2 linked regions of the Elephas maximus indicus genome follow. The protein of the gene in region 2 interacts with the protein of the main gene of each other region in a pairwise test. Links are inferred from orthologs where the notes say so. Each region holds a gene or a part of one and is shown on either strand. Other genes may lie near its edges.

What was found. The genes of interacting proteins can lie anywhere in the genome.
Region 1: the proteins of KLC3 (region 2) and BICDL2 interact in binary tests that used the Homo sapiens proteins (3 or more experiments, as listed by UniProt). The two-hybrid records come from large-scale screens. The link is inferred for Elephas maximus indicus from reciprocal best matches to the Homo sapiens genes KLC3 and BICDL2.

The regions. Positions count from the first base shown.
Region 1 is NC_064830.1:60,098,189-60,101,933, reverse strand, and holds the start of BICDL2 (BICD family-like cargo adapter 2), read left to right. Parts: upstream 1-1,538; 5' UTR 1,539-1,616; coding exon 1,617-1,780; intron 1,781-2,839; coding exon 2,840-3,158; intron 3,159-3,745. Other genes in the region: proline-rich proteoglycan 2-like, read left to right, coding at 1,347-1,538.
Region 2 is NC_064829.1:104,373,840-104,377,584, forward strand, and holds the start of KLC3 (kinesin light chain 3), read right to left. Parts: upstream 2,996-3,745; 5' UTR 2,882-2,995; intron 1-2,881. UniProt on the Homo sapiens protein: Kinesin is a microtubule-associated force-producing protein that may play a role in organelle transport. Plays a role during spermiogenesis in the development of the sperm tail midpiece and in the normal function of spermatozoa.

The DNA.
Region 1 (3,745 bases), on a different chromosome or scaffold from region 2:
TGATTGGTAAAGTAGAGGGTCAGCGAAAAAGAGGAAGACCCTCAAGGAGATGGATTGACACAGTGGCTGCAACGATGGGCTCAAGCATAACAAGATCGTGAGGATGGCACAGGACCAAGCGGTGCTTTGTTCTGTTGTACATAGCGTCGCTATGAGTTGGAACTGACTCATCTGCACCTAACAACAATGTCCTGGTGGCACAATGGTTAAGCGTTCGGCTGCAAACCATAAGGTTGATGGTTGGAACCCACCCAGCAGCTCCACAGGAGAAAAGACCTGGCAATCTGCTCAGGTAAAGATTACAACCTAGGAAACCCTATGAAGCAGTTCTACTCTGTCATATAGGGTTGGAATCGACTCAACTGCACACGACAACTGTCTGCTAGCAGGAATCCTTGTCCTAGCCCCAGGACCTAGGAGTCCTTGTCCCTAACCACACCTCCAAGGACTCCCTACATCCACTTCTCCACATCTCAGGAGTTCCAGCTCCCACCTAGTATCTAGGCCCCCAGGCCCCCAGCACTCAGGAGTCCTGGCCCCCATCCAGATGTGTGCTAGAGCCAGCTGATCCCAGGTGACAAAAGCTCATTGTGCACATCCCCTCCAAACTTCTAATTCAGTGACGTCACATCTATAGCTTGAAATCTGCAGTGAAGGGACTATTTATACCAGGGAAATTGGCAAATGCTACAAGTGAGTCCTCCCCATCCCTGGGAGCCTGTTGTTAAATATCTACCAGCACACCACTGCACCAGCTCTCCTTTTGTCCAAGGTCTGCCTGGAACATGACTGCATGCCCAGGCTGCATTGGGGCTGGGCCCTAAGCCTCAGGCCCAACTCCTCCCAGTCTCCATTTCCAGCCCTCCATCCCTGATAGGAGCAGGCACCCAGCTCTGCACAGCTCAGGAGCCTCGTCGGAGTGTGGAGCTACATGGATTAAGGTGTGGCTGTGGGCAACTCACTTTAACTGAGCCTCGATTTCCTCATCTGGAGTGTGGAGATCAGTCTAAGAGCACAGACCTTAACATCACACTTCTGGGGTTCACATTCAAGTTCAGCCCGTATGACCCTGGGCAAGTCAGGTGACTTCCCTGAGCCTCAGTTTCCTCATCTGTAAGATGGGGATAACAGTAGTTCTGCTTCATGAGGTAATAATGAAGGTAAATGAACTATGCCTATAAAGAGCTTATTTAGCAGAAAGCTTAGTATCAGCTTTGTTGTTATTATCATTGTTACTAATTTCCTACCTCAGAGGACAGTTGTGAGGGGAAAGGAGCCAACATCTAGGCTCAGCGTAGGTTCTGCGTACAGTAGGTGCTCATTTGGTCATTTCCAATGGCTTCAAGGTGCCTCTGACCAGGGTGGAGGCAACTTTCTTTCGGCTCCACCTGGCCATTCCGGCCATCAGGGGGCGCCCCAGCCCCGCCCTCAGCCCCTCCCCCTCACCTGTGCGGGCTGCGCACCTGGCACCGCCTCCGGAAGAGGAGACCCAGGACCGCCGAGACCTCGGTCGGAGCCCGACAGGGGGCTGCGGGTGAGAGCCCAGGTGTCGCCGAGGGCAGGGGCCTTCGAGCCTCGGGCAGGATGGGCCGGGCCGAGTCGGCGCGAGAGGAGGAATGCGGGAGCTGGAGGGGCTGCCGGACTCCTGCCCCTGGGAAGCAGAAGGCTGCCGGGGGAAAGGAAGGCTGGCTGGGCTTCAGATCCTAGGGCCGAGGGCTAGGGGGCTGGGGGGCCCGACGTCTGCGTTGGGACCACCGCGACACCTGGATCCGGCAGGCAGGTGTGAGATTCTGCGCCTGGCGCGGGGAGGAGGGGAGAAACAGGTGTGCGAGCGAGTGTATTAGGGGGAGGGGCTGGGGTCTTCCGGAGGCGGAGGGGTAGTTCCCAGGGAAGTCCCGTGGTGCGGGCCCTCGTGAGTCCCTGAACAGCCCGGCCTGGGCGCCCCAGAGGAGCGGCGGGCTCTGAGTCCCAGGGGCAGGCCGGGAAGTAAACAGAAACCCGGAGTCGTGCCTGCGGCGCGGCCAGCACAACCTGTTACCTCGCCCTGTCTGGGCCTGACGCCTGAGCCCTAGGAAACTGGGGGCCGGGGTGGCACTGCAGAGGGGAGGGCTGGGGCTCAGGATACTTGAGTCCCCAAGGGTAGAGGCCAGAAGGCCTTGGGCCGGCAAAAATTGGGGGCTGGGATGGGAATCCCAGAAAGGGTAGATGCTGGGATCTCTGAGTCTGGAGAGGTGGGGACCAGAACACCCTAGTCCTGAAAAATCAAGATCATGAGAGCCAGGATACCTGGGAGGGCTGGGGGCTGGAGACCAGGACATCAAGTCCTGGGCTTCTGGAAGGGGAGGGGGCTGAGCTATTGGTGGGGGATCAGGGCCCCTGAGTTCCCAAAGTGTGGGGTCCTGGATTCCTGGGAGGAGAGGGATCAGATTCCTCTTTGTGTCCTGAGTCCTGAAGAACCAGGGTTCTGGGAAAATGAGCTGAGTTTCCCAGATTGTCAGCGGCTGGAAGCCAGAACAGCTGGGTGCAGGGAACACAGGGGAAGGGGCAGGAACTCCTGGTGGGGTGGCCTCTGGCCCCAAGCACTGGGACAAGTTTTCCTGATGCAAAGAATGTCTGGCACAGGCAAAGACAAGCTGGCTCATTTCTTTCTGCTCCCTGACTCAGTTTACCCTGGGGACTCTAACGAAACCAGGTGGCCAAGACACAGATCATTGACCCCTCTTGGCCCAGGGAGGTCCTGCCTGTAGGGCTGGGAGGGCCAGGTGGCCAGATGGGCAGGTGGAGACTTGAAGGAGGGCCAGGTCTTGGCCAGTGGGGTGTAAGCCCCATCGGGCTGCAGAGTGGAGTATCTTGTGCCCACAGATGCTTCAGGCACCATGAGCTCCCCAGATGGCCCAAGCTTCCCATCGGGGCTGCTCTCAGGGGCCACCTCCCCCAGCGGCAACGAGGGCTTCTTCCCCTTTGAGCTGGAGCGGCGTGGCTTATTCCTGGGAGGGGGCCCCGAGCCCGAGGAACCTGAGGACCTGGCCCTGCAGCTACAGCGGAAGGAGAAGGACCTGGTGCTGGCCGCCGAACTCGGCAAGATGCTCCTAGAGCGGAATGAGGAGCTGCAGCAGCAGCTGGAGATGCTGAGTGCCCAACACTCGGAGCGTGAGGAAGTAAGCTGGCTGTCAGGGACCTGGGCCAAGGGTCAGGGAGCAGGATGGGCAGAGGGAGGACAGGTGGCCAGAGGTGTAGAGGGGAAGGGGGCCAGGCAAAAGGAGGACAGGTGGGCGGAGTGCAGGTGAGCAGGGGACAGGCAGGTGAGTGGGGGGAGAACATTGGGTAGGGGAAGACGATCAGGCAGGAGTGGGGAAGAGAGGGGGCTAGGTAAAGGGGAGGCTGGCAGGAGGCAGGCAGGTGAGCAGGTAGCAGGCAGGTGGGAAGGGGGAGGACAGCTGGGTAGGGGAGGATAACCAGGCAGGAGAAGGACTGGCAGACAGGTGTGGCCAGGTGAAGGGACCAGACAAAGGGGAGGACAGACTGTTAGGATGCAGGCAGGTGGGCAAGTGCACTGAGGGATGACAGCCAGGTAGAAGGACACCTCTGGACCAGTTTCCAGCTGGGCCTTGTCCCCTCAGTATTGTGGCCCAATGGTCCAGAGCATGGGCTCTGAGGACAAGTCAAGGCTTGGCTGTGTGGCGTGGACAAGCTGCTGGCCCTCTCTGAATCGTGGGACCTGAGTTACCTGGCCCTGGGCTCAGCA
Region 2 (3,745 bases):
CCCTCTTGGAAATACAACCCAACACAAAGGCACACTCTCCTCTCTGGAGTAACAGCCAACCCACACGGAAACTAACTCTCTCCTCCCCTTAGCTCCCTCGCCTCAGAAAGTATAAGCAAATCCCTCAGATTTAGACCGTCTCCTGATCTCTCTGCTTGTCCCAACGACATACACACTCCCGCACGCTCACACAGCCTGCAAGCCGCCAACTCCCCACTACCTCCGCAGCGCCTCCCAGGAGTCACTGTGAACCTGTCACCATCTTCCCCAAATGCTCCCTCACGTCCTTGCCTGGACAGCCACACACTCACACACCTACACACTGCATACCCACAGACACACACAGAGAGCTTCAAACACAAGGGAGTCCTCCCAGACTCAGTTACCCTGCCGGAAGCGGTGCCCACAGCGCAGACACCTGTGGCTGCACAGAGAAGGCAGTTCCCCGATTTTCACACCCATCCTCTCAGGTACACTTCACTGAAGCCACTGTGTCCACCATGAGCAGCCCAGGGGTTTAGCACCTCTTAGCACACTCATGATCAAGCACACTTAGACGCATACAGGAGTCCTTGGGTGGTGCAAACGGTTAGTGCACTTGGCTGCTAACAAAGGTTAGCAGTTCGAGTCCACCCAGAGATGCCTCAGAAGAAAGGCCTGGTGATTTGCTTTCAGAAAAAATCAGCCACTGAAAATTCTATGGAGCACAGTTCTGCTCTGACATACATGGGGTCTCCATGAGCCGGAATCGACTTGCCTGCAACTGGTTGGTAGATACATACAGAAAGGGCGTGAATGGAATCCTGTGGACTGTACAACCGACTGTTGATCGCCATTAACCTCAGTCTCTCTCTCCCCCTTTCATATACACACATATTGTTGTTGTTAGTTATTATCAAGTCAGTTCTGACTCACGGCGACCCCATGGGTGCAGAGAAGAAACCGCTTCATAGGGTTTTCAGGCTGTGACCTTTCAGAAGCGAATCGCCAGGCCTGCCTTCCAAGGGGCTTCTGGGTGGGCTCAAACCACCAGTCTTTCAACTAGTAGCCGAGCCTTTAACCATTTGAGCCACCGAGAGGCTCCATACATGCATATGTATATGTGTATATGTATGTGTGTGTGTGTGAGATGTGTGTGTGTGAAACCTGTGAGAGCTGGAACTCCGTGGGACTGCCCTGCTTTTCCAGGTCTTGTAAGTTTTCTGCCTTTGACAGGGTGCCGTCTTACCGCTTCTCTATCGCTCTCTATTAGTGGGAAATATTTTAGTTTTCCTTCTCTGACAGATTTCTGCCTGACACAGGCTCCATCTTTCACAGGTGTTACTGTGTGTGTGTATATATATATATATAAAATCTCATACCTCACACACAAGCCATAGTGGAACTCACAATCACACAAGCTCATCAACAGTCATCCCAACAACCACAACCATTATTCACACAATTTTGCCATCAGACACAACCTCCCCCAAGGTCACACGCCACCTCAGCCAGTCTGACCACCCAGCCCTCCCACAGTCACACAAGGCTCGGGCAGCCTCCTAACACACACCATCTCCCAGGCTCCTCCATTCCCAGAGCAGCGGACCCCTTTCATCTGCACAGTCTCCTGTGCAGAGGCACGTCGTGACAGGATGAGATCCACAGTCACCTCACACATCGACCCGGACACACACGCCCTCTTCTTCTCTGTCATCCCACAGAATGGCTGGGGGATAATCCCAGGCACACATCACTCGGACATCCCTTCCTCCAGCGCCCTTCTCCTACACTCAACCAGCCCCCCATAACAGGCAAGCTTTCACTGCACGTCCCGCCTGGTCAGAGCAGCTCAGCCAGTCACGGTCAACCCCCTCAGTCCCTCTCTAAAGTCGTGGCCTCACACCCACCTCCCCAGCACACATCCCAGCTCCCTGACACAGTCACACAGCCACATGCACCCTCACAGAGGCACACAGAGTCAACTGCAGGCACGTTATCACTCACGCAGTCCTATGGACACACGCACACACCATGGCTCAGGCAGAAAGGTAACCACAGCTACGCTCTTGATCACACACATAAGCCTAGAAACAGTTGGACTCCCCATTATACGCACAGCTTCATGCAGGGACACACAACCACTAGCTGCCAATGGTCTCCTAAGTCTCATATCTTTTGTCCTGACGTAAAGTCCCAGAAACAGCCCAACTCTCCCACACACACATCATCCACAAGCAGAAAGTTGGCCACAGTCACACAACCTTGCAATCACATACACAAAGTCCTGCAAACAATCCAACTCACAGGTGCACACAGTCAAAAGCTTGCTCACTTTTTCACCTCGCTGACACTGCCCCACACACAGGCCCTTAGGTCCCTCACGGAGTGACACACAGAGACCAGCACCCTTTCACATCCATACCCACAGCCTTACACCATCACACACACTCGTACACACCAGAGCCTCTCACACCATCCCTCACACACACACACACACACGCACGCATACACGCAGGTAGGCAGGGAGGAGGTTCCCATCATACTCCCCCCACCGCGTACGCTTACCCCTGGCCGCCGGCCCAGCCCCGCACCCCGTACCCCGCACCCAGGGATCCCTCCCTCCCTGCGCCCGTCACAAGGGCCCCCTTCCTCCCCCCTCCCCCAGGCCCCGCCCCGTCCTCGCTCCTGTTTACCTACGCGCGGGAGAGGGGGCGCGGCCCCAGCGAGGCCCCCAGATCCCCGGGAACCCCGGCCTGGAAAGGGGGCGCCCAGGGGCCCCAAGGCCCTTCCTGGTGGCCAGGTGAGCGGGCCCAGGGGTACTCCTGGCCCGAGGCTCCTCCCTCGGCCCCCGCCCCCATCACCTGGCCCCTGGGACCCCTGGCCGGTCCCTGGGGCTTACCTGACCTCGGAGGCTCCGGCACCAGCTACGCCGCCCCGCTCCCCGACCACCCCCAGCCCGGCCGCTCGGAGCTGATCCCAGAGTCTCGGGCCACAGGCTGCGCCTCCGGGGGCGGGGCGGCCAAGGGGCCCCGCCCACACAGGTGAGCCGGCCCCGCCCCTCGCCGCGGAAAGCCTCCGGCCGAGGCCTGGCGGCGGGAGTCGAGGAACCTCTGCTGCCCGGCCCAGGGCCTCTAAGGTGCGTCGAATCTAAGGATGATTCCAGCACCTGGTGGCCTGGAAACCGGAGTCGCGGCAGAGCTCGAGTCCTGGAAACTTGGAATCTTGGAAACTTTGGATCCCAAAACCATGGCCCTCTTGCTATGCCAACCTCGAGAGCTTGGTCTCTCTTCCTACAGATCTTCCTACAGATCTCGTCGTCATCAGGGCTCTTCCCAAAGGCTGCCTCCTCCGAGAGGACTTCCCTGACCACCGCATCTAAATTACACCCTCCATCAAGATACTAGCTCATTTCCCTGCTTGATTTTGTTCAGAAAATATTTCAGGGGCTAAAAATGATTTTATATTATATGTTGTATCACATATTGGAGCTCTAGTGGCCTAGTTGTTAAGAACTCGGCTGCTAACCAAAAGATCGGCAGTTCAAATCCACCAGCCGCTCTTTGGAAACCCTATGGGGCAGTTCTACTCTATCCTGTAGGGTCGCTATGAGTCGGGATTGACTCGACAGCGATGGGTGTGGGTATCACATATCATAATTCTATTATGTTATTATAGCATATTACATTCATTTATATTATTTTAATCTGGGGATCTGTTCATGTAAAGATTACAGCCAAGAAAACCCTAAGGGGCTGTTCTACTG